4 linked regions of the Struthio camelus genome follow. The protein of the gene in region 4 purifies or fractionates together with the protein of the main gene of each other region. This does not show direct contact. Links are inferred from orthologs where the notes say so. Each region holds a gene or a part of one and is shown on either strand. Other genes may lie near its edges. The genes, in order: YLPM1, CCDC85C, PPP1R12A and PPP1CB.

Region 1 (7,226 bases), on a different chromosome or scaffold from region 4:
TGACAGAAGTTACAGTATTTCCCTGCTTAGCTTTTAAAAACATTGGTAAGAATGCATCACTAAGCTTTGGTTTTGCTCTTCCTGTTGTGTTAAGGATCAGCTGCTCAAAGCCATGTTTCATATTACAGCCAAAGACGGACAAAATCCTATCAATCTTTCACAAGAAATAGATCGCCAAAGTACCACAGGCCTTTTGAACTAACACTAAATCGGCATGAGAGTCAACAAACAACTTAAGTTGTATGCATAGACATTCATAAACCAGAAAATGTAAACTTAGGAGATGCTTTTCAGCTACTATTCTGTTTCCTCTGTGCGCGCAGGACAATATTGCATTAATTGCGATTATTCTGGGGAGAAGAGAATGGCTGAGGAACAAATATATACTATGAAAAAAGTTCTAAACATTCATGAAATTTCAGGCTAGTTCATGATGAATATCTGTAAAGGAGTAGAATCACAGTTTACTGTTTATTCTTGAGTTTAACAATTTAAGAATTCAGCAAGCAGCCTCAACACTGAATTAACATCACTTTCTACTTCAGATTTCTCAAGCTTTTAGTTTTGTCATCAAAAAAACCGAATGAGTTCCATTGCGCTCGCTGTAAAAGATCAAATGGTACCCTCAAAAACAGCTCAAAGGTGTAAACTCAAAAAAAAGATAATATTTGCATATGTATTTGCACAATAGTATGGATATAATTTAAAAGGTGTTCCAGAGACTAAGCACTTTAAAATGTCTGTGATTTCAAAATGATGCTATGGGGTTTTTACAAACTTAGATTCAAATCGGAATCCTAGGATCAAGATGCCAAAAATATGTGTATTTTAAACTTACAAAGTCTGTTAACTTTTCAAAACATGCACTTCACCTTTGTTCTTGCAACCGGATCTCTACAAGCCAACTTCAAAATCATGCAAAAGCCTCAAGGCATCCAAATCAGCTGTGTGTACAGCTTAGGACCTCAACATGCATGCTTCTGTGCAGGCTTTATCTAAAGCAACTGGATTATCCCTAACTTAATGAATATGAACGGTAACATCAAGTTCAGCAGAACTACTCACATTTAGGAAGTTAAGCATGTGAATATTTGCAGACCTTTTGGCCCTAGTGTACCCACAAAAGTACACAGCATTAACAATAAAAAACGTAGTTTTCACCTCAAAAGCATTTCAGACTATTTCCCTCAAAGCCCCTTAAAAGTTTACACAAGAAGATAACACTCAAACACAGGTAGCTCAAAACGTACTCCCAAAAAGTTTAAGTAAAAAGCAGCCAGACACTACAGTAGAAACACTTCTGCAGTTTTATCTGTGTCTGGTAAAATCGGCGTTTGCAATACTATACCAGTCACTAGGTCGATAATCAACTGAAATACGATCACAAGAGAAAAAGTAAGTGAAGGAGTCACTGTAAACAAGAGGCGCTGATGCTGCAGCATGCAATAGGTGAATGAACTGCTGCATCTTTAAAAAAGATGCAAAAGATGCAACTGTTGCATCCTTAGAAAGATGCAGCAAGACTTCAGTGCAGTCCACCTACGTGCAAGGCTTGGGGAAAACAATTCTCCAGCGACTATCAAAGTCAGCAAGAAAATGAAACGCAACCAGGACTTAGACTGGTTCTCCGCCTAAGTCACTCGCGCCTGAGACCTGACCATCCGTTACACCCCTCAAGACACCACAGGCCGAAAAGGCATTTAGGGAGCCTGGCCTGACCCGTGCCGTTCCCGGACTTCTGAGCGCTCCGGCCGAACCATGCAACTATCAGGCGAACGGGACGCGCGCGTTCCGGCCTCGCTCGCAGCCCGCGGCCGCCGCCCCGCGCTGCGCCGCCCCCGGCCCCGGCCCCGGCCCCGGCCCCGGGCGGACACCGCCGCCGCCGCCCGCCTCTCACCTGCGCGGTCATGGTGGCAGGGTCCGGCTGCGGGGCGCCGTGCGGCTCGGCGCCGGCCCCCGCCTCCTTGGCGGCGCTCGGCGCCGTCTCCTGCGGGCCGGCAGCCGGCAGGGGCAGGGAGCCCTGCGGCGCAGCGAAGTGGGGCTGAGGCGGCTTCGGCTGCGGCAGGGCGGGCGGCGGCTGGGAGGGCGAGCCCTGCGAGGGCAGCAGGTAGGGCTGCGGGGCCGCGGCGTAGGCGGCGGCCGGCGGCAGGTAGGGCTGGGCGGCGGTGGCCGGCGGCGGCTCCAGGTAGGAGGGGGGCGGCTCGGAGAAGTTGGGGGGCGGCTGGGAGGCCTGCGCCCGCGGCACGTAGGGCTGCTGCAGCGGCGGCGGCGACTGGGCCGGCGGCGGCTGGGAGGGCGGCAGGTAGGAGGGCTCGGCCTGCGGCGGCGGCAGGTAGGCCTGCGCGGGGGGCAGGTAGGCCGGGGCGGCGGGCTGCGGCGACTGCGGCGGCGACGACAGCTCCATGTCCATGGGCACCGGCGACGAGGGCACGGGCTCGCCCCACTCGCCGTGGCCCGGCGGCGCCTCCTGGCCGTCGCGCTCCCGGGCGGCGGGCGGCTTGCGGGCCGGCGGCGGCGGCTCGCGGTGGGCGAACTGCTTCTGGTAGCTGCGCACCGGCGGCGGCACGGGCGGCGGCGGCTGCTGCTGCTGCCACTCGGCGAAGGAGCCGGGCAGCGGCGGCGGCGGCAGCCCCGGTGGCGGCGGCCCCGGCGGCGGCGGCGGCCCCAGCAGCACGGACTGCAGCTGCTTCTGGTGCATCTGCTGGAGCTGCTGGAGCTGCGCCAGGTGCTGCTCCTGCAGGCTGAGGAAGCCCGAGGTGCCGGCCGGCGGCGGCCCGGTGGCGGCGGCGGTCCCGGCGGCGGGGGGCGCGGGGCCCGGCGGCGGGTAGCTGGGCAGCGGCATCGGCGGGACGGCGGGAGGCGGCACGCTGGGAGGCGGGATGGGCAGCGGCGGAGGCGGGATGGAGGTGGGCGGCGGCGGGTAGTGCCCCGCCGCCCCGTACAAGCCCCAGGCCGGGTACATGGCGGGGGCAGCGGCCGGCCGGAGCGGAGCGGTGCGCGGCGCTTCCACAGGCCGCGGCGGCGGCGGCGCGTGCGGGCCACGGCGCCTGCGCGGGGAGGCGTGCCCGCCCTCCAGGGCAGTAGAGGCGTGCGCGCGGTGCTAGAGCGCCAGCCGGCGCTGCTCGGGAGACTCGGAGCCTGCGCGGCGCCCCCTAACGGGCAGCCGCCGCTACTGCGGGCGGGCGCGAGCACGGCAGTAGGGCACATAGAGGGGGGAGGAGGCGAGTCTAGAGCGCCGCTTAAGCACTTCCCCCCTCACCCCAATCGGCTTAGACAAAAGAGAGGAAGACAACAACCACAAACAGAGAGGCGCTAGAGCGTCGCTCCAAGGGAGGCTTTGGGGCTCCATTTTGTTCGAGCCGGGTAGGAGCAGGCGGGCGCCCGTTGGGTCCTACCGCCAGCCCGGCTCGCGCCGGTGCTCGGGGCTGGCGCGGCCCCGCTGCGGCCGCCGAGGGGCGACCGGCGCTGGGGGCCGCCGCCGCCGCCGCTTGGCCCCGCGGCCCGGGGACTCGGTCAGCCCGGCGAGGGCCATGTTTCCGTGCCCGCCCCGCTCCGTCGGCGGCTGCCGCCCGCCGCCCTGGCTCCACCCCGTTACGGGGAAAACCGTGATTATGAACCGCCCTGCGATGCCAGTGCTAATTGCTTTAGCGGATGGAGGGGGGCGATGGCGACTGCTAAAAACCGAGCTGGGTGAGGCCCTCGGAAAGCGACTCAAACCCTCAGAAGGGTCCTTCAGCCTTGTAAATGATGGTCCTGGGCCACCCGCGGGGGGATTGGTGCGGCTATAGATAATCCAGCACCTAAAACGACACAAGTATTTTCACTTCATTTTCAGTGAAGAGCAAGGTGATAAATCTGGGTGGCAAAAATGGAGCGAGTGATGGTGAAAAGGATGTGTAAAATTGCCTCATCCCTTACAGAAGCAATTAGACTGAGGAGCAGGAGAGATTTTTCCTGTGTTTCTCCCTCCCCACGCTTAAGTATGAGTCAAACACATCGGTATGCTCTGTAGCCAGTTAGCAAAGAGTTGTGTGAAGTGCTGAACTTGTGTTGTAGAGAAAATTTTGCCAGGGCTTATTAAATTTGAATTCTGTCAGCTGGACAGTGAAGCTTAGTGGCTGTTGTTTTGGTCAGAATTGCAGCTGCATTGCGCTGTCTTGCCGCTTGCCATCCTTCCCAAAATGAAGAGAATTTGTGCAACGGTTCTGATGTTCAATCTCCAGTTCACTGCTGGAAAATCAAGGATCTGTGGCCAGTGGGAAGAGACAGGTGTTGGAGGCAAAGGCAACGATAGATGGCCAGGTACAGAAAAAAGCTCTGTCCTCTCCGGCAGAAAAGCTAGACTTTGTATTCATTTCTTGTTAAATCCCAGGGAATCCAAAGCGGTGACACGCGATACAAACATGAACCCATAAGAAAAGCTTCAAGAAGAGCCGACACGCAATTTATAAAACACAAGTCTTTAGGAAAACCACCTTCATTAATTCAATACACCCAGAACTATTTTTTAAATTATTTAGTATCCTTTTCTGTCTAGAGCGCTTCCCAGTAAGATTTCTCTTACAGTGAATATGAATTCCAGATAGCGTTTGCACTTCCAGATCCCTCCCAAAATCCTACCCTTGACATTTACGTCCCCAAGCCCTTTGGGCCAGTTTGCTCACTGGTTAAGCTTTTGAAAGTCCTTTTTCCAAAAGAGGACCGTTACAAACATCCTTTGATTTATGCTGATTGACTGACTCAGAATGAGTTTTTTTGTGATCATTTCATTCAAGATTATTTCCTAAAGTCAGGTCTCTCGCAATATTCTTGCTCTTTGCTGTGGTTGATCAGTACAGTGAAGAAATCTGTTACTTCTCTTATGAAGAAATATTTGTACTCAATCATTTTGCAAGTGTTGTCCAAACTCTCTCTAGGAGACCAAAATTAGGTTTAGGTTCCAGTAACTTGACAGAGGTTAACATCAATACCCAAATCTGTTGATGGAGATAGGGGTGTTGACTCCTCCCGGACCAAGATACATTTATTCCTTTACTCAACATTACCTTGCCCCGAAGCCATCCTGTTTTATCCACGTTATGCCTTCTTGTTCTTTTACAGTCTATGACATCATTAATGTATGTCAACCTGCTATTTTTAGTTCATTTTTTAAAATAGCTCATACTCTTGGACGCTTCCTGCTTCTAATTGCTGTTCCGCTACAATTCAGCTATCCCTGGATTATCTAGTGTCATAGCTGGGATTAGCACTTCATTTCTTCATTGAATTTCTTCATTTGCTGATAACATTTAATACACTATAATTATGGTGCAGCAATTTTGTATTTCTGGGTCCCTTCCCCCCCCCAAGGAATAGAAATGCTTTTGTCCCTTCCACTGCCTAACTTACTTTGAGTATCGGGCTTGCTTTGGCTATTTTTGTCCGCAGGTTTAAACCAACTGCCAGACTTGGGTCAGGAAGGAATTTCTCTTCTGATTGGGACTAACAGAGCTCTGCAGTTGTAGGAACATCCGGACATTCTCATTTACCAAACTCCTTGCCATTATTCAGATCATGATCTTTCCTCCTTGAAATATTGTAATCTGAGGTTGGAATGCTGTGGTGTGCACAGAGTAAATACTTTCCTCTGAACCAAGCGTTTGGTACATGGGTTCCCTAAGACTGCAGGGCACGGCCCTGACGACCCGGGTGGTCCTTCCCGGTTCTTTTTGTTAATACCCACACTTCTCAGTGTTGTCTGGCTGATTTTACTCATTTTAGGAGTAAACTTTTCATTAAATACATGGCCTTCCTGGTGGTTTCAATCACTGTTAACACTTTCTCCCTGCTGCTTATCCTCCAACCAGGTTATATTTCTTATCAATTGCCTTATGCCTATTCTAGCCTCCTCCTTCTGTTACTAAAACAAGCAGGACAGACTTGGGTACGTCCTTTACGCCTTAAATTAAAGCTTCTTGTAAATAAGCATATTTGCCTTGATTCCTATATGCAGTTCATGCTCCATACGTATATTTGGGTGAAGTCCATCCAATAAGGATGTTTTTTTGTGTGAATGTCTACCAGTAGTCAAACATTCCCAAAAGTCATCACTTTGCTTTGCCCGTATCCTCTTTTCCAGAGCCAGAAAGACTTCCATCAAATATTACCACGGGAAGCCATTTCTTTCTTCTCAAGTCTCCTTCAAGTTAGGTTAACTCAAATGAAGCTTGCACAGAGGTAACTCTAGTTAGCTCTGCCCTGAAGAAGTCTCTTAAATTTAGAATTATTCTGAAAATTCAGCTACACAGATCTAATCCTAGATCTGAGTCCTTGTTTGACCATGCATAGTCTTTAAGTGTTCATGATAATACTTAAATTTAGCTTAAAGAAATGTGACTTGGATAGACAGGAGAAAATTTGGGTTTTTTTTTTTTGAAGTGTGCAATTACACACCAATAGTCAAATCTCAAAGATAAAACTTCCAACTGTGATAGCTTGAAAGGGGCTCATGCATTTTGAAAGTGTCAGTATGCTGTATTTCAGGGATGAGTTTACTGCAGAGGTGAGCCTGCAGGAAACAACGACATAGTGTGAGGGGCAAGTCTGATGCGTTCTCAAAATTTCCTGTAACATCTGTAGAAGCAGGGTGTTTGCAATTATTGGCATGTTGGAGCATTGCCCAAAGACAGGAAATGATTAATGGAGGAGAGGCATTATCTTCACTGTATGCTGCCTGGCATGCAGAGGTTTGAGTCCAGCTATTCTCTACAGTTTGGACCAGTGTAACGCATCACAGGATAAAAGCTCTATTAAAGTTTGGAAATTTTCTTAACTATACCAAGAATATCAATTCTCAGTCCCCCATTTATCACAGCTCAACTCCTGCACTTTGGCCAGGAAGCACTCTATGGCATCTTGGCCCCATGACCCTCATTTTCTCTCTTGCCTCCCAGTCTTAAAACAATTGTCCTCCCCCCAGAGAGGCAGAGATCGGCAGACGGCCTACAAATTAACGAGCTACAGAGAAGATATGAGAACGCAGAACATGCCTTGGGGAGAACAGATATGACATAGCTTTGAAACATTTTTTCTACGTTTCTCCATGCAGTTTCATCATTCCTTTTCTGTCGCTCCTCTGACGACTTTCTTCCCATGTTACTGCAAATGCTCAGGGTTTCTGCGAGACAGTTTTATTCTCAGCCATTGCTCTGATTCCCCCCTAAGTATTCTGCTCCCAGCCCACATTA
Region 2 (7,086 bases), on a different chromosome or scaffold from region 4:
AGTTTTCTGGATCAGCAATTTTCAGCCTGGACAAACAGGCAATTTCTTTGCAAATATACTGATAGAGAAGCACAAAGTAGTGGATGAAAGGAGTGACAATCTACTGTCATGCCCCTGTCACAGGACTGTGTCCTATGGCTGAGCCAACACAGCATGGCCAGCACATCACATCAGCAGGCCAGGAGTTACTTTTTGAGCAGGGACATGGACTAAGTGGTGAGGAATTGGGAACAGAAGATCCTCTCCTCTCAGGCTCCAGGATGTGCAGGGCAACACAGGGTGACCTAGCAACTACAGCACTTGGGCTCACTCCTTCCTATGCTGCCTTGGAAAAGCAAAGTCATGTGACACTCCCACTAAAGTTTCTCCTTCTCCTCAAGAACGAGTGGGTTTTGCAAGAGCCACCCCTCTCAGGTGGCTAAGCAACAACGCAGATCCAAATGGTGGAAGCGCTTTCTGTAATTCTAACGCAGCCCTGTAGAGGGAATGCTTTGGTAAGACTTAAATGATGTTATATATCACTATACAATATCAAGGATCAAATGCATTCTGTGTCACCTGCTGAGTTCAGGCGTTATCATCAAGAGGAATTTTGTCCAGTATTTTTTTTTCCTAAAATTCTTATCATGCTTTAAACTTTCACTCCTGATTAAAGAGGGTGAAAGTGTCCATTTGATTCAATGATTGACGCTGTATTACATGGGAATAAAAAGATTAAGATAACATGCATATTAAAAGTGCTTTGCACTCACTGCCTGCAGAAGTGGCCATGACCAAATGTAACAGATCAAATCTGTAGCATGTTATGAACTTCTGTTACTCTTCATCTTAAACTGGCACAGGAGAATCATAATTCCTTCCAAACAACACTGAGAAATAGGGCTTGTTAACGGTAAATAAAAAAGCAGAAGCCCATCAAAAATACTCCAATATTGTGTATTATTTGTGTTGATTAAATATCTGCTTGAAATACATAATTTGTTTTTGAGCGTAACATTGCACTATACACATATATAATCCAGGCCACAGACACTTTCTGATCCTACCAAGCTTTACACATCTGCGCTAACACTGCTGCCTCACACTTCGAAGCTAAAGAGGTTTTTCTCTACTGCAATGCAATAGCCACCTCGGAGGGAAGGTCACAGAGTGAATAGGTGAGGCATGATGGCCACCTGATTCGTGCCTCATTCACTCAGACCTGTTAACCCTGGCCCTCTCTGTTCGTTCCTGACAGATGACTGTTTCACCGCATATTTGTCAGGATCAGATGTCATCGGGGCAGACAGCAGATCTTTTCGTGCAGTTTCAATGCCACCTCCAGAGCACATCCGAGCCTGAATGCCCAAACGCAGCAGGTCCAAAGCTCACGGGGCACAACAGTGACCGCAAATCCCTCGTGGATAGTGGCAGGCTGGATCTGTGCCCTTTAACTTTAAGAGCATAGACATACCCATTCAGTCTGGAAAGCAAGTCTTAATCATCACAGTGACTTCCTCTGTGGATATTAATAATCTCATCACTTCCTTTTTGGAGCCCCCCTATCTGCTGGGTTCCTTCCTTGCAGAGGTATCAATGGTGCTCAAACTTCATAAAGTTTCAGCTAGAAAAAACACCTCTTCTTGGGAAAAAAGATCGAGCAAACACAAGGCAGACACTGCCTGGGCCAAGCACCTCTAAGGTGTAGCTACACAGCTACACCTGAATTGGTGGTGCGGTGGCCAGAGGGTTCTCCGCCCCTGCTGCCTACTCGGCTCCTCCTTCCCCGCTAGGCACCGGCTGGGGATCTGCTAGTCAAATCACCGCATGGGAGGGTCTGGGAGAAGCACTTTCTGCTTCCTGTAGGGAAGGATGTGATTAAAGCCTTGTAAATAAAAGACTTGGCTTAGAAAACACTTGAATGCCTTCTAGACATGATGCAACCCTGAGCTGCAGCAGTGCACCGCACTGCAAAGGGTGTTATCTTCCAACAGCCTGGCTCAGCGGGGCATGAAGCAGGAGACTTGGCACGGTCTAATTTTGTACCGATTCGATTGTGGCCACTTGGTGACCATGGCCACTTTATGCAAAAATCAAGTATATTTATATCCGAGACCTGTTAGAGGGAAGTAGAAGCAGACCTCCATTTCAGGCAAGGCCTCACCACTCTTCTGTACAATGGCATGACTACCCCCTCCTTTCTAGGGAATTACCTTGATTTGTGTACGTGCTAGGGAGAATTGTCTTCCTCCCATTTTAACAATATCTGTAATGTATGTTACCAGAGAGCACCTGCATATCCCACCTGACGTGAACTGGTGGCTGCTCTCTATCCCAAGCTCCTGTTACCCTTACGATCTGGGATAAAAGCCACTTTGGGAGAGGAGGGGGGCCAACAATGTCCATGGAGAGGGTAAACTCCACCAGAAATGGAGAAGTCCTGCTGTTTTACTTTAGTGGGGAACTGGCAGTTGTCTTATATTGCCACGGATATTTCTCAGTTCAGAAACCAATGACTACAGATTCGCACAGAAAAGCATGCAGGAAACTGCAGCTTTACTGACTTAGATTTAGGAAGATAACACCACCAGGCAAAGGTTGCAATTCCCCACCCTTCTCGGGACTGATGTCCCTTCTATGCCTAGGCCATGTGTTCTGCATCCCATGCTCTGGCATCATATGTGATGTTTGTTTTTTGCTAGAGGGTGTCTTGAGTAGCTTTAAGTGTGGTCAGAAATCTGAGATTGCACTGAGTTAACCTTAGAGTCAAATCATTTATTGAGGTTCCTTGGGAACAGAAAGATGGCGATTCCCTAGGGCTTTGTAAGGATCCTCAGTAGGAAATAGCTGGCAGCACGTCTCTGTCCTGGTGCATGTTTCATTTTTACAATGTGGTATCGGTCAAAAGCAGCCTAGAGAGAGAGAGAGTGAAGTCCAAGCAAATGTGCATTAGACTAAAAGTCAGGGGATGTGATGCAAGGATATAGGAAATCTGCCCACATATTGCCTGGGAAATCTCCTTTAACGCAGTGAACTTTCTGGGCCCTTTCCCGGGCTCTGTGCACAGAAGCCACCCTGCCATGCCTGCTCCTGAGCAGACCCCTCGGTAAAGACCATGAAAAGCTGGGCAGGTTTGAGTGAGGAATAAGAAGCACGGGTGCCTCAGAGGCTGTTTGCTCCTGCATCCCCGCACGGTGTCGGAAGGAACACAGCTCTCCCGGGAGCAGAGCGGGCAGCCTGGGGCGGTTCTGCCAGCCTGCAGGCTGCGGCCGAGGCAGGAGGGGACGCGGGCACAAAGGCGGCTCCGGGGGGGACGGGGAGCGGAGCGCGGCGTGCCGCGCCGCAGCCCGGGGCGCAGCGGGGCCGGGGCAGCGGCGCGGCTGGAGGAACAAAGCCCGGCGCGGCGGGGCGGCGGCCGTGCCCGCACCCCCGGGCAACGCCGCCCGCTCCCGGCCCGGCCCCGCCGCCTGCCCCGGACGCTCCGGGGCTGCTCGTTACACAGCGCGGCCGGGTCGGACCGAACCGGGCCGGGCCGGGCCGGGCGGCGAGCTCCTTTTCCTGCCATTCAACCCCACCCTTCTCCCGACTGGTGCTCCCTCCGCGCACACGGCTGGGGGCGGCGGCGGGGGGGTGGGAGGAAGCAGGGCAAGGAAAAAAAGGTGGATGAAAAGAAAACAAAAAACGGTGTGGAAGAAGGGGGGGGCTCAGCGGCGGAGAGCAGCGCGGCGGCGGGAGGCGGGCGCGGCCCTTCCCTTTGTACCTGCCGTTTGAAGGCGCCTGGCGGCCCCGCATTGGCTGCGGCGGCCGCGGCCCCGGCAACCCGAGCCGGCGGCGGCGAGCGGCGCACCGGGGTCCGGCCAGCGCCCGGCCCGGCCCGCCCCCGGCAGCCAATGGGGCAGCGGGGGAGGGCCGGGGCCGCGAGCCGAGCCGAGCCGAGCCGAGCCGAGCCGAGCCGAGCCGCCGGCAGCAGCGCCCGCCGCGCCCGCTCGCCTGCTCGCCGCTCGGGCAGGGCCGCGCCGCGCCGCGCCGCGCCTCCCGGCCCGCCAGGAGGTGGGACCAGCCCGGCCCTGCCGCCCGTCTCCTCCTTCCCGAGGGCTGAGCCATTCCGGGAGGGCTCCGGCTCCTCGCACCGCTCCTCGGCAGCGCCGCACGCCGCGGGCGCGGACAGCCGCCGCCGCTGCACCGGGCTCGGCCCCACGTCTCCGTGCGGGCCGGGCCGTGCCGTGCCGTGCCGGGCGAGGTGGGCTCCGCCGGAGCGGATTGATGGTGCGGTTTCTCTGCGCGCATTTGCCGGGGAGCGGCGGGCTGGGGGGGGCGGCGGAACAAGTGGCAGGAGCGAATTGGGGGCGGGGGCCGGCCGCCGCGTAGTTGTTTTGCCCGGGGTAAGTTGACCGATTGCTGTTGGAGGCTTCATTCCGTGGGCTGCAGCGCTTCCCTCCTGATTCACTGCCACCCCGAGCCCCGTTTGGGGGAGGGCGTGTGCGTGGTTTTTTGTTCGTTCTTGGTCCCCCCCTCCACCTCCGGATTGCTTTTTTATTATGGGGTCTGCGGGAGAGCAGATCACCCAGAGTGGCGTTGCTGTTTTCCCTTGCCCAGCGCTCTGTGGAGAACTATAGTATTTCTTCCCCAAGATGCTGCGGTAAATTTTAGTCCCAGGAGATCAGGCGAACAAAATAATCCAAATAACCCGGACCATTTGTTACTGTTTAAGAACAAACGCTCTCTAGGCACAGATGATGGCAAAAAATTCCCTGGAAGGGTCTAAAGAAGACCTGAGCAAAATTTCAGAAGAGGAAATGCTGAGGTGGAGCAAGGAAGAGCTAGTGAAAAGACTGAGGAAAGTGGAGAATGAAAAGATGAACTTAATGGTGGAACACGGCAACTTAATGAAGGATGTGAACCGGCGGCTGCAGCTCCACCTGCACGAGATCCGCGGGCTGAAGGAGGTGAACCAGAAGTTGCAGGACGATAACCAGGAGCTGAGGGAGCTCTGCTGCTTCCTGGACGACGACAGGCAGAAAGGCAAGAAGCTGTCGAGGGAATGGCAGCGGTTCGGGAGGCACACGGCCAGCGTGATGTGGAAGGAGGTGGGCATGTACCAGCAGAAGCTGAAGGACCTGGAGGCAAGGCAGGAGACCCTGCTGAGGGAGAACGTGGAGCTGAAGGAGATGGTGCTCATGCTGGACGAGGAGCGGAGTGGGGCTGGTTCGCGGAGCTCCATTGACAGCCAGGCCAGCCTCACCAACCTCAATGGTGGGTCGGGCACCAGGGACGTGGGGGACGGGAGCAGCACCTCCAGCACAGGCAGTGCAGGAAGCCCCGACCACCATCATCACCACCTCCACCACCACAAGCCTGGCGACAGCAAGGCTGGGGCCATGCGAAGGTCTATGGATGACCTGTCTGCGCCCCTTCACCACCGGAGCATACCCAACGGCCTCAACGGTGAGCGTTTCCCCAACCTCCCCCCTCCTCACTCCCCTTGCAGCAGGTGCAACCAACTTTGCCCTCTGCCGTGTGCTGATCTCTCCATCCCCCCTTGTCAGTGGGATGAGAGATGCCTGGGGGGCTGTGTCCAAGCCGTTCCCATCCCCTGCAGTCCTTGGTGACCGCAAGGGCTTTGGAAGAGCAGTCAAGGCAGCTGGGGGGACTGGGTAGGTGCACCCATGTGCGGGGCGGTGGCGGTGCTCACCTGGTGCAGAGGCAAGCGACTCTGCAGTGCCTGCACTGAGGGCAGTCTCCTTGGCTACATTACTGATCTCTGGGGTTGAGGGATGAAGGCTTTTTTATCTGGAGGGTTTCTGGGGGGGTTTTTTTGCCTTTTTTTTTTTTTAATGGCAGGCTGAGCCTGTATTTTCAGAGTTACATAGACATTGATTTCTTCCTCTCCTTCTCCTCTCCCCGTTAAAGATTTTGTTTTATATTTGGCTTGTTTACCAGCTAGTTTCATGAGACTGATTAAAGCCTGTATGAGATTTTGGAAGCAATTGATTAAAGTCTGGGTCTGCCACATAAAGCATCACCTGTTAGCTCCCTGGGCTCTCAGGACAGGCTGGCTGTTGCATGCTGAACAATTTTGGCTAGGTGAAACTTGGCTTCCCCGCACTCCCCATCAGAAATAGGAGCTTTGTTCGTAGCAAAGAGATTGCTCTCGAAGGGACATTCATAATTTTGTTCAGCCTAGTCGTTAAAGTTAGAAACAAGCTCCATTGTGAAATCATGCCAAGCCTTCTCTGGCACTGTATAGTCCAGCAAAGTTTCTCCTAGTGTCATAATACTGATCAGGCATTAAAATAATAATATTGGATTATCCCAGAATGTCTTTAAAATGGAGATTTTTTTTCTTTTAAAAAGGTGAAGAGGGGAAATCTGGAAACCAACAAGATTTCAAATTTGACATTTAAAAGGAGTAGTTTGGAAGAGCGGGTTAGCAGGAATCAAACCAAGTACCAGTCTAAATCCTTAGATATGACTCCTGGAATTTCAGCCTTCTTAAGCCCTTTTTCCAACCAGAGGGAAGTAGTCTTTAGTCAGGGATACACATCTCCCTCCTCCAAGCACAGAAACTGCCCCCTCAGTCCTGTCAGCCAGCCAGCAGGGATGGAGAGCCCGGGAGATTGACTCTGACTGATTTTCGGCTCTGGCTTGCACCGCAGGAGAGGCCACTGAATGTCTAAAGGGAGAGAAGATGAGAGGGCAGGCGGGGCGCTGGGGAGGAGAGCAGCTGGATGTGACTGCCAAGTAGTGCTTTCTTCAGTTCCCAGAGCTTTCAGTAGTCTTGGCGGGACCAAGGAGTGCTGGTCCTAGTCTTGGTGATTTATGGCAAGTCCTCAGTGCCCCAGGAGATCTGAGGCCACGCAGCACTGATCAGCCCGGTGGTGTGTTCATGGATGAATTTGCCATGCTTGGTTTGGCTGCCGCAGCTGTATTTCCCCGCTCATGGCTGGAGACATTGCAGCCACCTAATCCAGTGGACAGCGTTGCTGGTTTAAACAGTGATCCCCAGTCAGCAGAGGTTGCAGGATACAGCAGGCATCGTTAAAAATGTGTTTCCTTCTCTCCCTCTGCTAGTGTTTTATTAATTGGAAATAACCTGTTTGTTAATTT
Region 3 (6,902 bases), on a different chromosome or scaffold from region 4:
GTGATACTTTTATTAAAAAATGGAAAACCAGAAAGCATACTGATAACAATACCATTGTTTATTCATTTTATTGATCATTTGCAGCATGGCACTAAATTAAATGAAAATATATACAAGCATAGATGCTATCTCTGCAAATGTTTACCTGGTTATCTTTACAGAAAGGTGGTCCTACTGGATTCATGTGCTACTATTTGTAGGCAGAAAATTACATATGCAATCATGTTTAATGCTATACATATACATACAAACAAAGGATTTTACAAAACATCTAGTACGTTGGATAGTCTGCTAGAGGTATAAAGCCTGGTAAAACTAGGCCTACTTCGTGTGCCCTTAAGTAGGACTCGGTTAACGTGCCGAAAAATTGCAAGTGACTCTTGTTAGCATACTCTTATTATTGCAAGTACACGTGCATATTTATGCAGTTATCCAACTGAATTTTATGATATTGTCTTGTAATCAAACCAAACAGTAATCACTGTCTTATGACAAATTTTTTACTCACTTTCAATATGATCTTCAAAGTGAGCCTTTAATATACAGGGTTTAGTCCTGCCCTCTGCACAGATGAATTTCACCACCACCCCCACCCCCACGCTTAGGCAGATAATTGGAAAAGAACATCGGGTTTCTATAGCAAATATTATTGGTAACTGTATATGTTTATCTCAATCAGTACTGAACCAGAAGCTGCAGAGGGCCTTATTTCCTCTCAGCTACTCTATTTTTACCGTGAAATCTAATGACATAAAACTGATGTGATAGAGTACAGAACATAGGCCAGTATGCCTTTGCTCCTGAAGTTAGAAACCTTTATGTCAGATAGGAGATAGCAAAAATAAGGAAATTAAAAACAAGTGTTAAGAATTATTATTATTACCCTTATTATTAATTTTTTCTTGCTGTAAAGTGTGGCTTAATTTTGTTGAATAAAGAGAACGTGAAAAACTCCAGAGATGAGCCAATTTACATGAAAGACATCTCTACTTTTTTGCTTAAGGAAGACCATATGCTTTCCTAGATCACATTCAAAGACTGTAAGTAGTTTACTAGAGAGCATACAGCAGTCAGGGAAAGGCATACATGTATATGTACACACACATGTACACACACACACACAGAGACACATATATATATATATTTATATTTATATATATATGGAATAATTGAATTCCAACTGGCTTAATTAAATTGCTGCCTAAATGAATGGTGTTGCTTGTGGGGTTGGTAGAAAGCCCCAGAGGTAACCCAACTCCCAAATGAGGTCCAACCGGAAAAAACGAAAAAGTCAAAGAAAAATAAAGTCTAGAATGTAGAACATACAAATAGCAGTAGCGTAAGGAAAGAGGATTTCCATATCCTTTCTGAAAAGATGGAGATTAATCAGTGGAAAATATTCTGAAGATAGGAATAGAAAGGAGGTATTAGACCTGGTCTTTAAAAACAGACCATCTGATACTTCAGAACAGAAAGGGATATGCATTTTATGCTAGAGAACATCTACGTTTCCCTATGAAGCCAAGGAGAGCCAGCTGAAAGGAGTTAAAGGAGAATCCATGACCAGAAAGAAAAAACTGAGCTAGAAGAATGAAGTCAAGGAGAGAGGACTGGAGCCTTGACAGAAACCTAAAAGATACTCCGCAACAGTGAAATTCCTGAGCGAGAGCGTTCTCAATGAGTGCCTATCAACTGGCTTCGAATTACTTGGCTACCAGTAAAGTACTTCATTTAAATATTTCTTTCTGAAATCACTGTATTACATTCTTCAGCTATTTTATTTCTTTGAAGAGTTAAATTTTCAGACAGACTATTGGGAGATGGAAAGACAGGAGGAGAGTGCTGGGGAGGGTATACTTAAAATAACTGAGACATCTGGCAGAAGAGGACTTAGCTCTTATCCTGCATTATGTTTTTCTGAGCTACAGTTTTCTGTTCCTTAGGAAATGGCACTGGATTGAGCGGCTGTGCCCAGGAAGTTTGCCCAAGAGGCCAAGACCACAGAAAGTGGCCCAAGTAGGCACAGATCCTCTCCTCAGAAGCGTACTGTCAGTAGACGCAGGCAAATAGCAGGCTGGTGACTGCCCAAATTGGGCCAATGCTACCAGAGCGGTGCTGAAGCACAACTCGATTCCTCGTGTTAGTAATAAACCCTGCGAATCCAGGGGCCTACACTGTATCTCTGAACATGCACGCATGTTGTCAAAGGGAATGTGTAAATAATGTGCTGAGTAATGGTTCATCTATCTATTTAGACTTCAGATCTTTCTTAAGCAAATCTTTCATCATGTCTACATGTTGTCTTTCAAATGTTCACAAGCACTTTGCGCCTGCAAATTTTCAGCGAATCGGATCTCACACATTGCTGTATGAGAAAATCTCACGGATATTATGCAAGAACCTCTGCATGAAATTCTTTTCCGAAAGGCATTAATCACACCAAATTGCTAGAGGTACATAAAGTAGCCTCACTACTACCACTTCTTGTGAAACACCACTGATATTCTAATAAATGAAAATAAGAAGCCAGAGTAGGCTATGAGACTGTCTACAGTAGGAAGAAAAAAGGAGACCTTGTAATTAAGAAACAACAAACCATGCAAAACTTGAAGTGTATGAGGTTTGGTGAACCTCTTAAACTATATTTTGCTTCCTATAATTAGTTGAAATTAAAACTTTTTTTCCAGTAAGTTTAAAACCACGTTTTATCCCCACAGATGATTCAATTTAAGACAAAATGTATATTTTTTTTAACCTAAAGAAAACATGCTATGCATGGAAAAAAATTAACTACCCATAACTTGGTTCCTGCAAGTTATAATTCTGAATAAATACTTCTGAGGCTTCTATCTTCAAAAGCTATATGCATTGTAACCACTTATTTTCCCCCAGCAGGAAGGATAGATATGCTGTCCCAAGGTTTTCAGAAAATGGAAGTGAAGCAGAAATTTGGTTTAGCTTAAACCAACGCTGCAACGGAGTTCTCATAAGCAGAAACCTCAGGGCAAAATTTGAGACTGGGCTTTCGTCTGTCAAGGTGCATCCTAACGGGGACAACTTTTAACATCCCAAATGGGGGCTCCTCAGCCCCTTGTCCTGTTTTTTTTCCTTCTTTCCTCACCGTGACTCCATTTCTTCTGCTTGCTAACACAGGCAGTAATGTGAGTATTGTTGCGTGTCACGGAGAGGGAAGAGTTTGCAAGGAAAGGTAGTATCTTTAATTAAACTGACACGGGCCAAAACACACACGCTTTCAGCCACAGGAACACGCAGAAGCTGCACGCTCGAGCCTTTTCGTTTCTTGGCCTTTATTTAAGGCTTGCATCAGATAATCTAATAAAATACATTATTGCCTGTCCTTATAAACTTTGCCCGGACGAAACATGACCTCGGTTACCATTCAGCGATGGCGCTTTTATTTGAATGCTCCTCATCGCTTGCATTTTTTCTGACCCGGTAATCAACAGACACCCAACAGGGGCGTCGCGGCAGGCGAGCGGGGCCGGGGCTGCGGCCGCCCCCGGCGCCAGCCCCGGGAAGGGGCGGCCGTTGGCGCGGCGGGGGGGGGGGGGCGAAGAGGGGGGAAGCTGTGTGCCACCGGGGGGCTCTGTCCGTCCCGCCCCGTCTCCCCGCCAGCCCCGGGGATTTCCTGCCCTCTCCGGCGGGGGCAAGGGAAGCCAGTGAGCCCCGAGGCTGAACTCTTGAACCCGCGGCCGCCATGAGGCGCAGCGGGGCAGCCCCGCCTCAGCCGCAACACAGACCGCTGCATCCCCCCCCCCCCAACCTCCCCCGGCCCGTGACGCCACACGCCCCGCCCCCGCGCCACTCTGTCCCCCCCAGCCCCGCCCCTCCAGCTCCTCGTCCTTCCCCGCCCTGAGGAAATCTCGCGGGATTATGCTAACGAGCCCGCCGCCGCCGCGCCTCCCCTCCCGCCCTGCGCCCTCCGCCTGGGTGAGCGAGCGAGCGAGCGAGCGAGCGAGGGTGAGCGCGGGCCGCGGTGCTCTGTGGGATACTGGCGGTATATAGTCTATCCTCGGTGCGGCGTTCGCGAAGGGGGCCAGGCGGGAGCGGGGTATGAAGATGGCGGACGCCAAGCAGAAGCGGAACGAGCAGTTGAAGCGCTGGATCGGCTCCGAGACCGACCTGGAACCGCCTGTGGTCAAGCGCAAAAAGACCAAGGTGAAGTTCGACGACGGCGCCGTCTTCCTGGCCGCCTGCTCCAGCGGGGACACCGAGGAGGTGCTGCGGCTGCTGGAGCGCGGCGCCGACATCAACTACGCCAATGTGGACGGGCTCACGGCGCTCCACCAGGTCGGTGCGGGGCCGCGGCCGTTGCCCGGCGGTGGGGGTGGGCGAGGTGGGAGGGGGCCCGGCCGCGCTGGCCGCAGCGTGAGGCGGGCGAGGCGAGGCCGCCCCGCGCTGCGCCCCTCCGGGAAGAGGAAGGGGGCGGCGGCGGCGGCTGCTCTCGGCTGCGCTGGGGGGTGGCGAGGCGGGGAGGGGCCGGAGCGCGGGGCGGGGGGCAGCGGGGTCCGGGGCGGCTGCGGCCGGCGGGAGGGGCCGTGCTGTGCCGTATCGTGCCGCGGGCCCGCTGCCCCCCAGCGCCGGCCGCGGGTCGGGAGAGGGGCCGAGCGGCCGAGGCCGGGCGTCGGAAGGGGGCGGTTGGGCCTCTCCCTTGGCGGGGAGGAGGCGCCGCCGCCGCCGACCCTCTTTCGCTTTCCCCGCTTCCCCCGTTGGCAGCGCCTCCCTCGGGAGGGGCGATGGGGGCGCGGGCCCGGCCCCCGTGGTGTCGCCGAGTGGGGGGGGACAGGTGGCCCGCGGCGGGGTGGGTGGTGTCCGGCAGGTGAGGGGGGCGGGCTCGCGGCGGGGGTCGCTTCGCCGCGCTGCCTCTGCCCCGGGGTTTCGGGAGCAGTTTCCTGCTTCCTCCGTTCCTGCGATTCCGCTGCCGTGTAGCTGATGGAACCCGCTCTTCTGTGCGCGAAAAGGCGGATCGCTTATTTCCCCCTGGTTTCTAAGGGGAACCAGTGTTTTGTTCCTAATATAGAAACGCGTATCAATAACAGGCTGGTTTTCTTTCTTTAGTGATGGCTTCTGCCGCAGTGTGAAAGCTGAACTTTCAGGGAAGCAGGGCTTTTACAGTTTTCTTTCGTGTACTGGAGAGGTGTAAAAACGAATCTATATTGCTTTGTTCCTCTGTGTGTGTTGGTGGGTTTTTTGTTTTGTTTTAGTGTGGTTTTTTTTTTGAGGGAGTACCGAGGGATAACTTTCGTTTGGGGCAGGGGGGAATGGAAAGGAAACTGGCTGTGAAGTTTCCTCAAAATGGATGCTTTGTGCATGTTGAACTTCATAGCAGTCTGATTGGAATCTCAAAACGTTAGCCAAATAAGGAAAGGCTGTGGCAATCCGGAGATAATGCGGGTTTGCCTGAACAGTTTTTGTTTCTTTAGCAGGCCAAAAGCTTCCCCAGAATATTAAATTTACTGGATATCAAAAAAAGCAAAAATAATTTTTGACAGGCCAACTTTTTGTTCTTAGGTTTAGAAGCTGTTCAGTAGTTTAGAAAAAAAACCTTGATGTCTGCAAGTTCTACATTGATCAGCTAGTAATGTTACCAACATGGTTAAGTGAAGTAATTAGGATGTTCTCACCATACTGTGGTTTTCTTGAACAAAAATGAGGTGCTGAATTTAATGTATTATATCTGTCTCATGTAGATTTTCAAGGATACAAAGTTCTACAGATATGTAAGTTGTTCCATAGTAGTGAAGATGCACTAGATAAAGCAAAAAGTAGTAAATCTTGCATCTTGTGTTCAGAATTGGGTTCTATTTCCTGTATATAAACTGTCACTTGCTGCCCTGTAAAAGATACTAGTTTACTGCTTGTTGTAAGTTGAACTGGAAGAATGAATGTATGTTGTGATTAAAAGTCTGTCAGAATGTTACTTGTTACAGCAAAGCTACCTAACTCAGACTAGTCTGTCACTTCATAGCAAGATTTTATATCTTTATACTTCTCTAAGCAATGATTGCTTCATGCTTCTAGGGAGCTCTGTATTAGAAGTCATACCTTAACTGGTTAGATCTCTGGATCTACAAGTTACTGAACTCTGTGATTGGTAGGAAAGGGTGACGTTAGGTTTAACTGTATTGTCAGAATAAAAGACTGATGATGATGTCTATAGTCATCAGTACTAGGTGGCACTTTCAAAACGTCTTTGGTGCGGTATACAACAAAGCTTTCAAGATAGTTGTGAAGTGACTCTATCTCTCCCCCCCCCCCTTTTTTTTTTTTTAAACCTGTGGTCAGTTTGCAGATTGGATGAGCAAAGTCCAAGGAACAGAGGAGATCTACATCACTGCAGAAACTCTAACTCTCTCTCGCTCTCTGATGCTGAAGAGACTTTTATGATCTTATGTAAAAAGAAAAAAAATCTATTGTGAAATGATAATTATTTTGAGGCAGCCCAATAAATGAGTGAATGTTGCCCGCTGCTCAAAAAAAACACAAAAGAATCCCCTGCCCGTAATCAGCACTGTATAGTTCTGCTTTACTATTATCAATGTATATTATATGGCATATTAGAATAGAATAATAGGTGCAAGTATTACATAATGAATTCATGTTATAGGCTGCATCTAATTAAGTTTGACTAGAGCATGGAACAAAGCTATAGTCTTTCGCCGACGAAACCTCTTCAAAAACACATCACTCTTGCTGATACTGTTTTGACTGACTAGTGTCAATAGTGTCAAAACCCCCGTTGTTGAGTTTGACTGTCACAGTTGCCTGTACAGTGCTGCTTGTGTGTGCCTCCTCCTTTTTTTTTCCCCCTTTGTCTGTCAAATCCCTTGTAGGTGTTATTGTTTTGCAGGAATATATTTGTCAGCAAGAATGAGGTTACT
Region 4 (7,985 bases):
TCATATGCTAATAAAAATAATTAAAAAAAAATCTTCACACTTTTAAATAGTTCTGACGCTGACAGATGATGTAATCTGTGATATGTACCACGGTATACACCTTACCTTGTCCTGGTTTCTATGGGGTTCCTGGGAAACTCTCTACCATGTCTTCAAGGTGGTGCGTTTCTACAACCTGTTTGAGAAGTACTGGGACAGGGCAGGGGTAGCTGCTCTTTTCAGCATGAGACTTTCTTAAATGATATTCACTGGGTTGAATTTTCATTCTATTTTTTTCAACTTTTTCCTTGCTGATCCTTGACAGCAACAGTCTCTTTTCTTGTTTTAATTCAAGAGAAAATAATGTAACGTCTAGACCTACCCCGCCTTTGGAGTATGCTTTAAAGGCAAACAGGACATATGGCATTCACAGGAATCAAGGAGTAGTGCTAACTTACAAAAAATTCTTCTTCTCCAAAAAATATCATGACTGAAGCTATGATGATTATAGTAGACAAATTTGTATATCAACTGAAGATCTCGTAACGTTTTTCAAATAATTCAGTTATGGCTCTTGACTCCTTGAAGAGGTTCGCATGTGTTATTGAAGAGGTTCGCATGTGTTATTATTGGCATTTATAAATGTGGGAATTAAAGCTGAGAGCTCACTAAAGTTGCCGAGGTAATCATGAGCAAATGTATGACAAGAATCTGGAGCATCTGCATCTGAGTTTCCTATTAGCTGTTTGAAGTGGAAAGAGTAAGTGTAAAATGTAAGTAGAATATTTGCAGTGTATTACTTTAATAATAGCCTCTCTTTTGTTCTATTAATATTTAATTATTTATACAAACTGTAACAGCTACATCAAGAGAGATGGATCAGCACTATAGCTGAATGATTACGGCATGCATCTGATGCATAACAGATCCAAACTCAGGTCCTCGCTCCAACAGGTATTGAGCTATTTATACCAAGTGTGGCAGTTCAAAAAGGGATAACGGGAGACCTGCCTAGGATGCAACAGTTCAGAGAAGAGTTTCTCACATCCTAGGTAACTGCCTGCAAATTCAAACCACTGGTTATTTTGGGTTTGTTTTCCTTCCTCTCTAATTTCTCAGGAAACTTGATAAAATCTCTGTTTCAGCTCAGTCTGGAGCAGTAATATTTTTTTAAAAAGCTTTCTGAATATATAAAGAAACCTATTATCTACCCAGCTTTAGTGCAAATACTGAGCAAGAAAAAAGAGACACAGAATGCTAAAGAGCAGAATCTGATTGGTTTTCTGCACTTGTCTCTGAATCTAAACTTTTGGAAGAAAATAGTGATAATTCATCTGCAGTCTTTGCATATTCTGAGATTACCTTGATGCAGTTTCTTACCATTTCTGTCCAAAGAAACGTCCGTGAACATTGTGTACATAAATTGTCCTAAGGAAGTACACAGCTTTTTTGCTGATTCTGATTACTAAATCAAGTGGGAAACTGAGCTAGGTGCTCAAAATCCGCTTGCAGTGGCTTGGTTACTGGACAAACACAGAGACTGAGAAGGAAGCACTGCTCCAGCTACCACTGCCCAGTGAGAACATGCTCCTAATTACATGCCGGAAAACTAACCACAGGCCATATTGCTTCTCCCTGCTTCCTCCTCCCATCTGCGTAAAAGCTGTAGTCAGCCCTAAGATACACTCAGCAAAAGTGATACAACAGTTTAGAAGCAAGCCATAGTGCTTGAATAACGCTGTAAAGTGCTGCTGTGTGTTTTCTGTAAGATAATTCATGACAGAGCTAGGAGGGCAATGTAGCTGGGGCCATGATTTTTGAAAAACGCAGTTACAATGGCACAGCAAGTAACTTAAAAGAGCATGTAGTCGGTGCCATTAGTAATGGGACATACCGGCTGAAGCAATGTAAGGTTACTAGGAAAGAGCAGATAACATCAGAGATACTGAAACCGTGTTCTGTAGTTGAGGATGCAACAGCCTTGATAGCAGAGCAAGTGAGAACTCGTTCTGAGAGCCCCATTTTTGAGAATGACACTAACATACAATTTTTTACCACCTTTGGAAATCTCTGTCCTTCAAGTCTTGAAAATGCTACAGAACGCCACTGCAAATTAAAGCACACCTCAAGACAGCAGGTGGGTAAGGAGAGGAGAGTTGACACACAGGGTATTTAGGGTAAATGGCACTGAGACTGAGCGGGGGAAAGTTAGAAGCAAAGCCATGTTTGTGGACACAAGAGGAAATTTCAAAATAACTGAAAGGAAGTTTAGAAAGATGAGCATTATTTAGGAGAGTTTGCCAAAGGCATCAGCAACGTTCAAGCTTCTCCTGCTACTTAAATCACCACTTAGATATCTTTGGTCTGTATCTGTGTATGCTATTATGTCAAAAATTACTTAACATTTCTGCTTGATCAAAGAAAATGCATTCAGTCCACATTAAATATTTCTTTCTGAATCACAGGAGAAAACAGGCCTCATTCTCTGATCTTTTAATTCTATTTGTTGTAATGGAATTATGTCATTATAGAACGCAAGGTCTGTCGAGTTTTATTCGCTAAGAGACTCTCATACTCCTTTCCCTGCTCAAGCTCCGAAGCACGTTGGGGCAGACTACACAGAGTTACGCAGCACAGTGTGGTGGCCACCCTCCCTTTTCATGATCCAAATACAGCAGGGGAAGAACTCTGTGATCCAGCAAAGCTCCTATTCCATGAGTTACTGGAGAAGGAAAGAAGCCTTGGCGGGGTATGAGAGCTGAGATCCAGCAGTGGCAGGAACTGAACGGAGTCCTGAAGTTTCATTCCTCCAGTATCTTGAGTAGCGTGAGCAATCTCTCCTCATCCTATGACCCAGCATAATGCCACGCCTCATTCACTCCAGAATATGGAGAAAACTGAAAAGCAGTGAAATAGAGTAGAAAACCAAACTTAATGTATTTACCAGAGTCCCTCAAGAACGCAAGGGCATGATGTGATAGGGTAAAATTAACTAAGAGACTGGTACAGAATCCAGAAAGGAAAAAATAAGCTATTTTTTTCAACCCTTGTGCAGTGTGTTCTGTTCCACAGCATCTCTGCTTATTAAATTATTTTGATATTATGATATGCCACCGAGTTGTTTCTGGAACATGCTGACATGCTTAGTAAAAACAGTTATTATGGGATTATGTTTTGCTCAACATATCTCGAAGTTTAATATCTTCTGGAGTTTTTGGAGACAAAGAAATTGTATCTTTATGCCATAGTGAAAGATCATTGCATATTCTCATTCTGTTGTCAATGCAGAATGTTCTATGACTATATAATATTATTATACCTGAATTTGTGTTGGCTTAAAATAACTTTCAGGGCAGTTTTGGTTATGTGAAATGAAATTGGGACAATTCTTAAAAACTCAAGAGGGACTGCCTATCTATTAAATTTGGCAGCAATAAAATAGCTAATATCAAGAATACCCTTGTAAAGCTGAATAATTACTTTTCTTAGTTTGACAAAAAAATGAAGGAAAGATTTAAAGCATTATTTAGATTTTCACTACTGGGAAAAATTGAAAAATAAAAAAGAATATAGTTTCAGCAGATGAGCTGGAATTACATTTTCATAGATGCTACCTACAAATGGGGATGCAACATCTTTCTTTTTTTTTTTTCCAGAGGTTCTTCCTCTTCCTTCAATGTATCCAGCAAAACTTTATTATTGCCTATGTATTTCAAAAGAGCATTCTACTACCGGACTGTCTGGCCACCTAGCATCATCTGACGCCTAATCATTGTCTCGCCTTGTCCTAATTACTTACATTTTGCTCATATACATCTTGTCCTAATCATGAAGTAAAAACTAGGTTTTGAAATTATTTTAGCTGAGAGGATTTTGCTGGCTTGTATAGGTCAATGGAAAAATTCGAATTTGAGCTCAGATAGATGTTTCTATATCAACATCTATATTTAGGCAGATAAATAAGTGGCCTGATTTTTCTAGAACATCTGCAATGTCTTTGGCAAAAGGGATGGCTGGCTATATTTTGTCAGCATGCATACATTTCAATCTGCTGTTCCAGTTCACAAGCAGCTTTCATCAACTGTTTTTTAGATTCTGTCCATCTAGGCAAGCATCTATTGACAAGAGCATGCACTCTAACATGCTCTTGAGCACTCCTCTTAAAAAAAAAAAAAAAGGTTTCAGAAATCATTCAGAAATGCTCTTTCAGAAAAAAAAAAAAGTACTTTTAGCAGTTCCAGCCACAATGAAATATAAACCGTATTAGTTAGGAGATTCTTCCTGACAACTGTGTTAAAACGTGGCTACAAAGAGCACAACTTATCATTCCAGTTCTGATGGACTTCTTTAAAAATAAACTGTGAGCTTTCACAGGCGCAGTTTCAGCAGCAGAAGGGGTGATACACAGGTTACACGCAGCCCACTAGGACTCATTTTCTTGGCTTTTTTCTTTTCCTCCCTCCCTGTAATTGATGCCTGGAAACATAACCTCCGCATAAAGTAAAGCACATTCTCCTGCAGTAACATGTCACGGGGAGGTGGGGCATCACAAGGAGCACCAAATATCCCTACAGCCGTTAGAACATCTTCGGAGCGGATACCCAGTTGGGAGGCAGCCGGCGAGGCTGGCTAACCCCCACAGGGCGGCCTGCTGCCGGCACCCTGACAGGAAAGGCCACCCCGCCCTGCTCTTTGCACGGGACGGACGGCGGCCGACCGAGAGCCAGGGGGAGCAGGTCGGCGAGGCCTGCCTTGGGCTGCTGGGCAGCCCAGACAGCGGTGGAGGAGGACCGCGTCTGCCCGTGCGCACCCTCGGGCACTGCTTCACCGCAGCCGGCCGGCAACCGACCCTCAACGGCCACGGCGCGCGCCCGCCGGTTACTAGGAAACCCACGGGCAGGCGGGGAGAGGGGGGGGAGGGACTGTGACGCTACGCGCGTGCGCACTGGCCGACCCCCCCCCCGCGCGCCCGTTCTGCGCCTGCGCGGTGGCTGGCGCGCGGGGCGGCGGGAGGGGTGAGGAGGCGCATGCGCCCTGGCGGCCTCAGAGGCGGGGAGGAGGCGCGGGGAGGAGGGGTAGGCGCTTCCCCCCCCATTTAGCGCTGAGGGAGCGGGAGCGGCGCTTTCGGGTGCCAGCGCGGGAGAAGCCGGGCGGCCCCAGGGGACCGTCGGAGGAGGAGGAGGGGGGGGGGAAGCCACTTGTCTTCGCCGCCGCCCGCGCGCCCCGCTCCTCCTCTGTGAAGCGCCCTCCGCTCCTCCCTCTCCCCGCCTGGGACCGAGCCTGGTGGCCACAAAATGGCGGACGGGGAGCTGAACGTGGACAGCCTCATCACCCGCCTGCTGGAAGGTGAGCGGGGCGCCCGCCGGGCCTGCGCCCTCCGCGGGGCGCGGGTGGCGGCGCCACCAGGGGGAGCCGCTGCCGCCGCTTGCCCGCGGGGCGGGGGGAGCGGGCGGGGCGGCCCCGCGGCGGGGGCAGCGGCAGCGCCTCCCCCGCACCCGGCCCCGGGGGGCGGCGGAGAGCGGGCTCGGCGCGGCCGGGCCAGGCTCGGGGCCCTCGGAGGGGAGGGGAGGAAGAGGGTTTTAAGCATCCTCGGCGCGCTGGGGTGAGGGGGGAGCCCTCCCCGCTCTAGGTGAAGTGGCGGCTTTTCTTTTCTTTTCTTTCTTTCTTGTTTTCTTTTATTTTTATTTTTTAAAAAGCTTTGCAAGCGCTCTTCCCACGCGGCAGCCGCCCCGGTGAGGGGGGAGCTAGGGCAGCCTCGTTGGCGGCCTTTTCCTTTCCTTCCTCAGCGAGGATACTCCTAGTCCTCCGTGCGTAAAATTATATGCCTAAGCAAGATTAGGTGTGGAGTTGCGTGTGTGTGGGTGTCGGGGGAAGCAGAGGGATTGAGTGTTACTCTGCCTGCCTGCCTATGGGCCAGTCTCCAGAGGTTGCTCTCGGGTGCCTGGATAGCTCTGAGTCTAGTCTCTTACAAGACTAGTAGCTACGAGGGGTTTTGTGTGTGTGTTAAACAGTCATGCTTTCCTTTAAAATAAGGAGAAAACTAGCTGCCTTCCAGTTTATGGAGAAGCTGAGGAATTATTCCTAACGTTTTTCCTCTGTGTAAATGATGTCTCGAGTATCTGGTCTCAGACCTCTCCTCACGTTAGTCTTCCATTCCGTGTTCGACAAATACCTAGTATGGTGGAGACGATTATCCACTTATTTGGTTGCTGTGTTTGAATATTCGGATCACTTAGCAGAAGGCTTTCAGAAAGTAGTTTAAGAAGCATATGCAGTTCTGGGAGAGGAAAAAGTCTGAATGTTTTGTTTAACTGAGTTACTGCAGAGTTTTTGTGGCTTTTTGGTAATCGTATGTTTTTTATAAGTGAAACTGCTAATTGACTTAAACGATTAACAATCAGTATTTTAAAAATACATAAGGCTCTGGCCAGTTGTGCTCATGTTTGTACTTTAAGAAAGATATGCAGTGTAGTATAATGCAAAGAACACCTGCAGGTATCATCAGTTAGCAAAGTGTGTCTCTGTTCACTGATACTGATAAACCTCACTTTTCTGGACCCTGAAACCCAGCTTAGTAATGAAGGTAGTTTTTCAAGACAAACCACATAGTAACCTAGGAAATACTGCGTTCCTAATACTTTTTTTCCCAGGCTTTCAAAATGTGTACGTATATCTGTATGTCCTTATAAAAAGAAGGAGATTTGAAAAATCTTTGAAGGGTACTGTTCCCTCTCTTTTTCTCTTTGCTCATCTGTGTAGCTATTTAAATATAGACTGCTTGAAGAATAGGTAGTTCTCCAGTGTTTCGGGATGCAACTTGTATTGGGCTACTGTCTGTTATCTTAAATGCTACACTGCTTGCTTTATTTATTTTTAATGCAAGAGTTTGGAAATACTTATTCCTGGCTTTTCATACATGCTATAAATGCTTTATGTTGCTGTATCTCTAACATTTTTGAGCTATGACAGAGTACCTAATCTGCACTTTTTATTCTGTACTACTTTAATCTTTCAGAAGTTGCACATACATAGCTTTAAGCAAGCTTTCTTTATAATTCTGTGTCTCTGTTTCTCAGTCTGTTTCTCTCTCTCTGAGCAGAGATTAGGAAGATTTTTAAGGAAAGCAGGACATGTGTCTTCTCTGCTTGTCACCTACTAATAGGAGTGCCTCTTACAACATCTCATCGCCTCAGAAAGGGAATAGATTCTTCTAGGTTGTATTTGAGAAACTATTAAAAGAATACATACACTATATATGAATTTGCTTTGCTTGCATTTGACATCTTTTATTTCCTGTGCTGCTGGTGTATTATAGCTTAAGCTGTGGTCCAAATGTTAGTCTTCACAGGGAAGTTTTTTGTACAATTGGATGGCTAGCATTCTGGAGTTCATGGTGTTGCTTAGCTGGCTTATTGTGGTAAAGTGAGTATAAGCTCCTGTCAGTGTATGCACCCCTCCCCCTCCTCCCCCCCCCCCCCAACAACCTGGAAAAATTTCTATCAACCCTTGCTCTGGAGCAATTAATTTAAAATAAGTTTTTGACTGCTTTCCCCCTCACTTCAGCTTTGGCTTAAATAGTGAGGAATTGCAGCTTTTGAGCTGTATACAGGTGCACGTTAATATATTCAAAATACATTTTCATGAAATGTTGGGATGCAATATATTTAGTCCTTCTTTTAATGTTAAATGGATGACTTTAAACAACAGTCTACAATTGTCTCTCAGTTGCTGCTGCTTGTAAACTTCAAAGGGTAGCAAACGCATATCAAAAGCCGCAGTGACAGGAAGCTTCCTTAATGCCCTTGAGTTGCTGGTTGGGGACACCTGTTTCTAGGCTGTGATACTAGCTGTCATGAGTCCTTGCTCTTACTTAATTAGGTTACTCTAACTGTTTTTTACCCTTATTGCTCAAGACCACTTGCATTTCAGGTTATATGACGCATTAACTTGCCTTTTGATCAGAATTACATACTTGGATCATCTTACCGTCCATGGGTGCATGTACT

Evidence for each region.
Region 1: the proteins of PPP1CB (region 4) and YLPM1 purify together in Homo sapiens (affinity purification with mass spectrometry; 3 studies listed by BioGRID and IntAct, with this or other methods). This does not show direct contact. The link is inferred for Struthio camelus from reciprocal best matches to the Homo sapiens genes PPP1CB and YLPM1.
Region 2: the proteins of PPP1CB (region 4) and CCDC85C purify together in Homo sapiens (affinity purification with mass spectrometry; 3 studies listed by BioGRID and IntAct, with this or other methods). This does not show direct contact. The link is inferred for Struthio camelus from reciprocal best matches to the Homo sapiens genes PPP1CB and CCDC85C.
Region 3: the proteins of PPP1CB (region 4) and PPP1R12A purify together in Homo sapiens (affinity purification with mass spectrometry; 6 studies listed by BioGRID and IntAct, with this or other methods). This does not show direct contact. The link is inferred for Struthio camelus from reciprocal best matches to the Homo sapiens genes PPP1CB and PPP1R12A.

The regions. Positions count from the first base shown.
Region 1 is NC_090946.1:57,712,984-57,720,209, reverse strand, and holds the start of YLPM1 (YLP motif-containing protein 1), read right to left. Parts: upstream 3,019-7,226; 5' UTR 2,963-3,018; coding exon 1,898-2,962; intron 1-1,897. UniProt on the Homo sapiens protein: Plays a role in the reduction of telomerase activity during differentiation of embryonic stem cells by binding to the core promoter of TERT and controlling its down-regulation.
Region 2 is NC_090946.1:69,741,430-69,748,515, reverse strand, and holds the start of CCDC85C (coiled-coil domain-containing protein 85C), read left to right. Parts: upstream 1-4,083; 5' UTR 4,084-4,245; exon of another isoform or gene 4,246-4,690; 5' UTR 4,691-4,712; coding exon 4,713-5,424; intron 5,425-7,086. UniProt on the Homo sapiens protein: May play a role in cell-cell adhesion and epithelium development through its interaction with proteins of the beta-catenin family. May play an important role in cortical development, especially in the maintenance of radial glia.
Region 3 is NC_090942.1:45,370,548-45,377,449, reverse strand, and holds the start of PPP1R12A (protein phosphatase 1 regulatory subunit 12A), read left to right. Parts: upstream 1-3,883; 5' UTR 3,884-4,074; coding exon 4,075-4,311; intron 4,312-6,902. UniProt on the Homo sapiens protein: Key regulator of protein phosphatase 1C (PPP1C). Mediates binding to myosin. As part of the PPP1C complex, involved in dephosphorylation of PLK1. Capable of inhibiting HIF1AN-dependent suppression of HIF1A activity.
Region 4 is NC_090944.1:108,069,893-108,077,877, forward strand, and holds the start of PPP1CB (serine/threonine-protein phosphatase PP1-beta catalytic subunit), read left to right. Parts: upstream 1-4,973; 5' UTR 4,974-5,273; coding exon 5,274-5,325; intron 5,326-7,985. UniProt on the Homo sapiens protein: Protein phosphatase that associates with over 200 regulatory proteins to form highly specific holoenzymes which dephosphorylate hundreds of biological targets.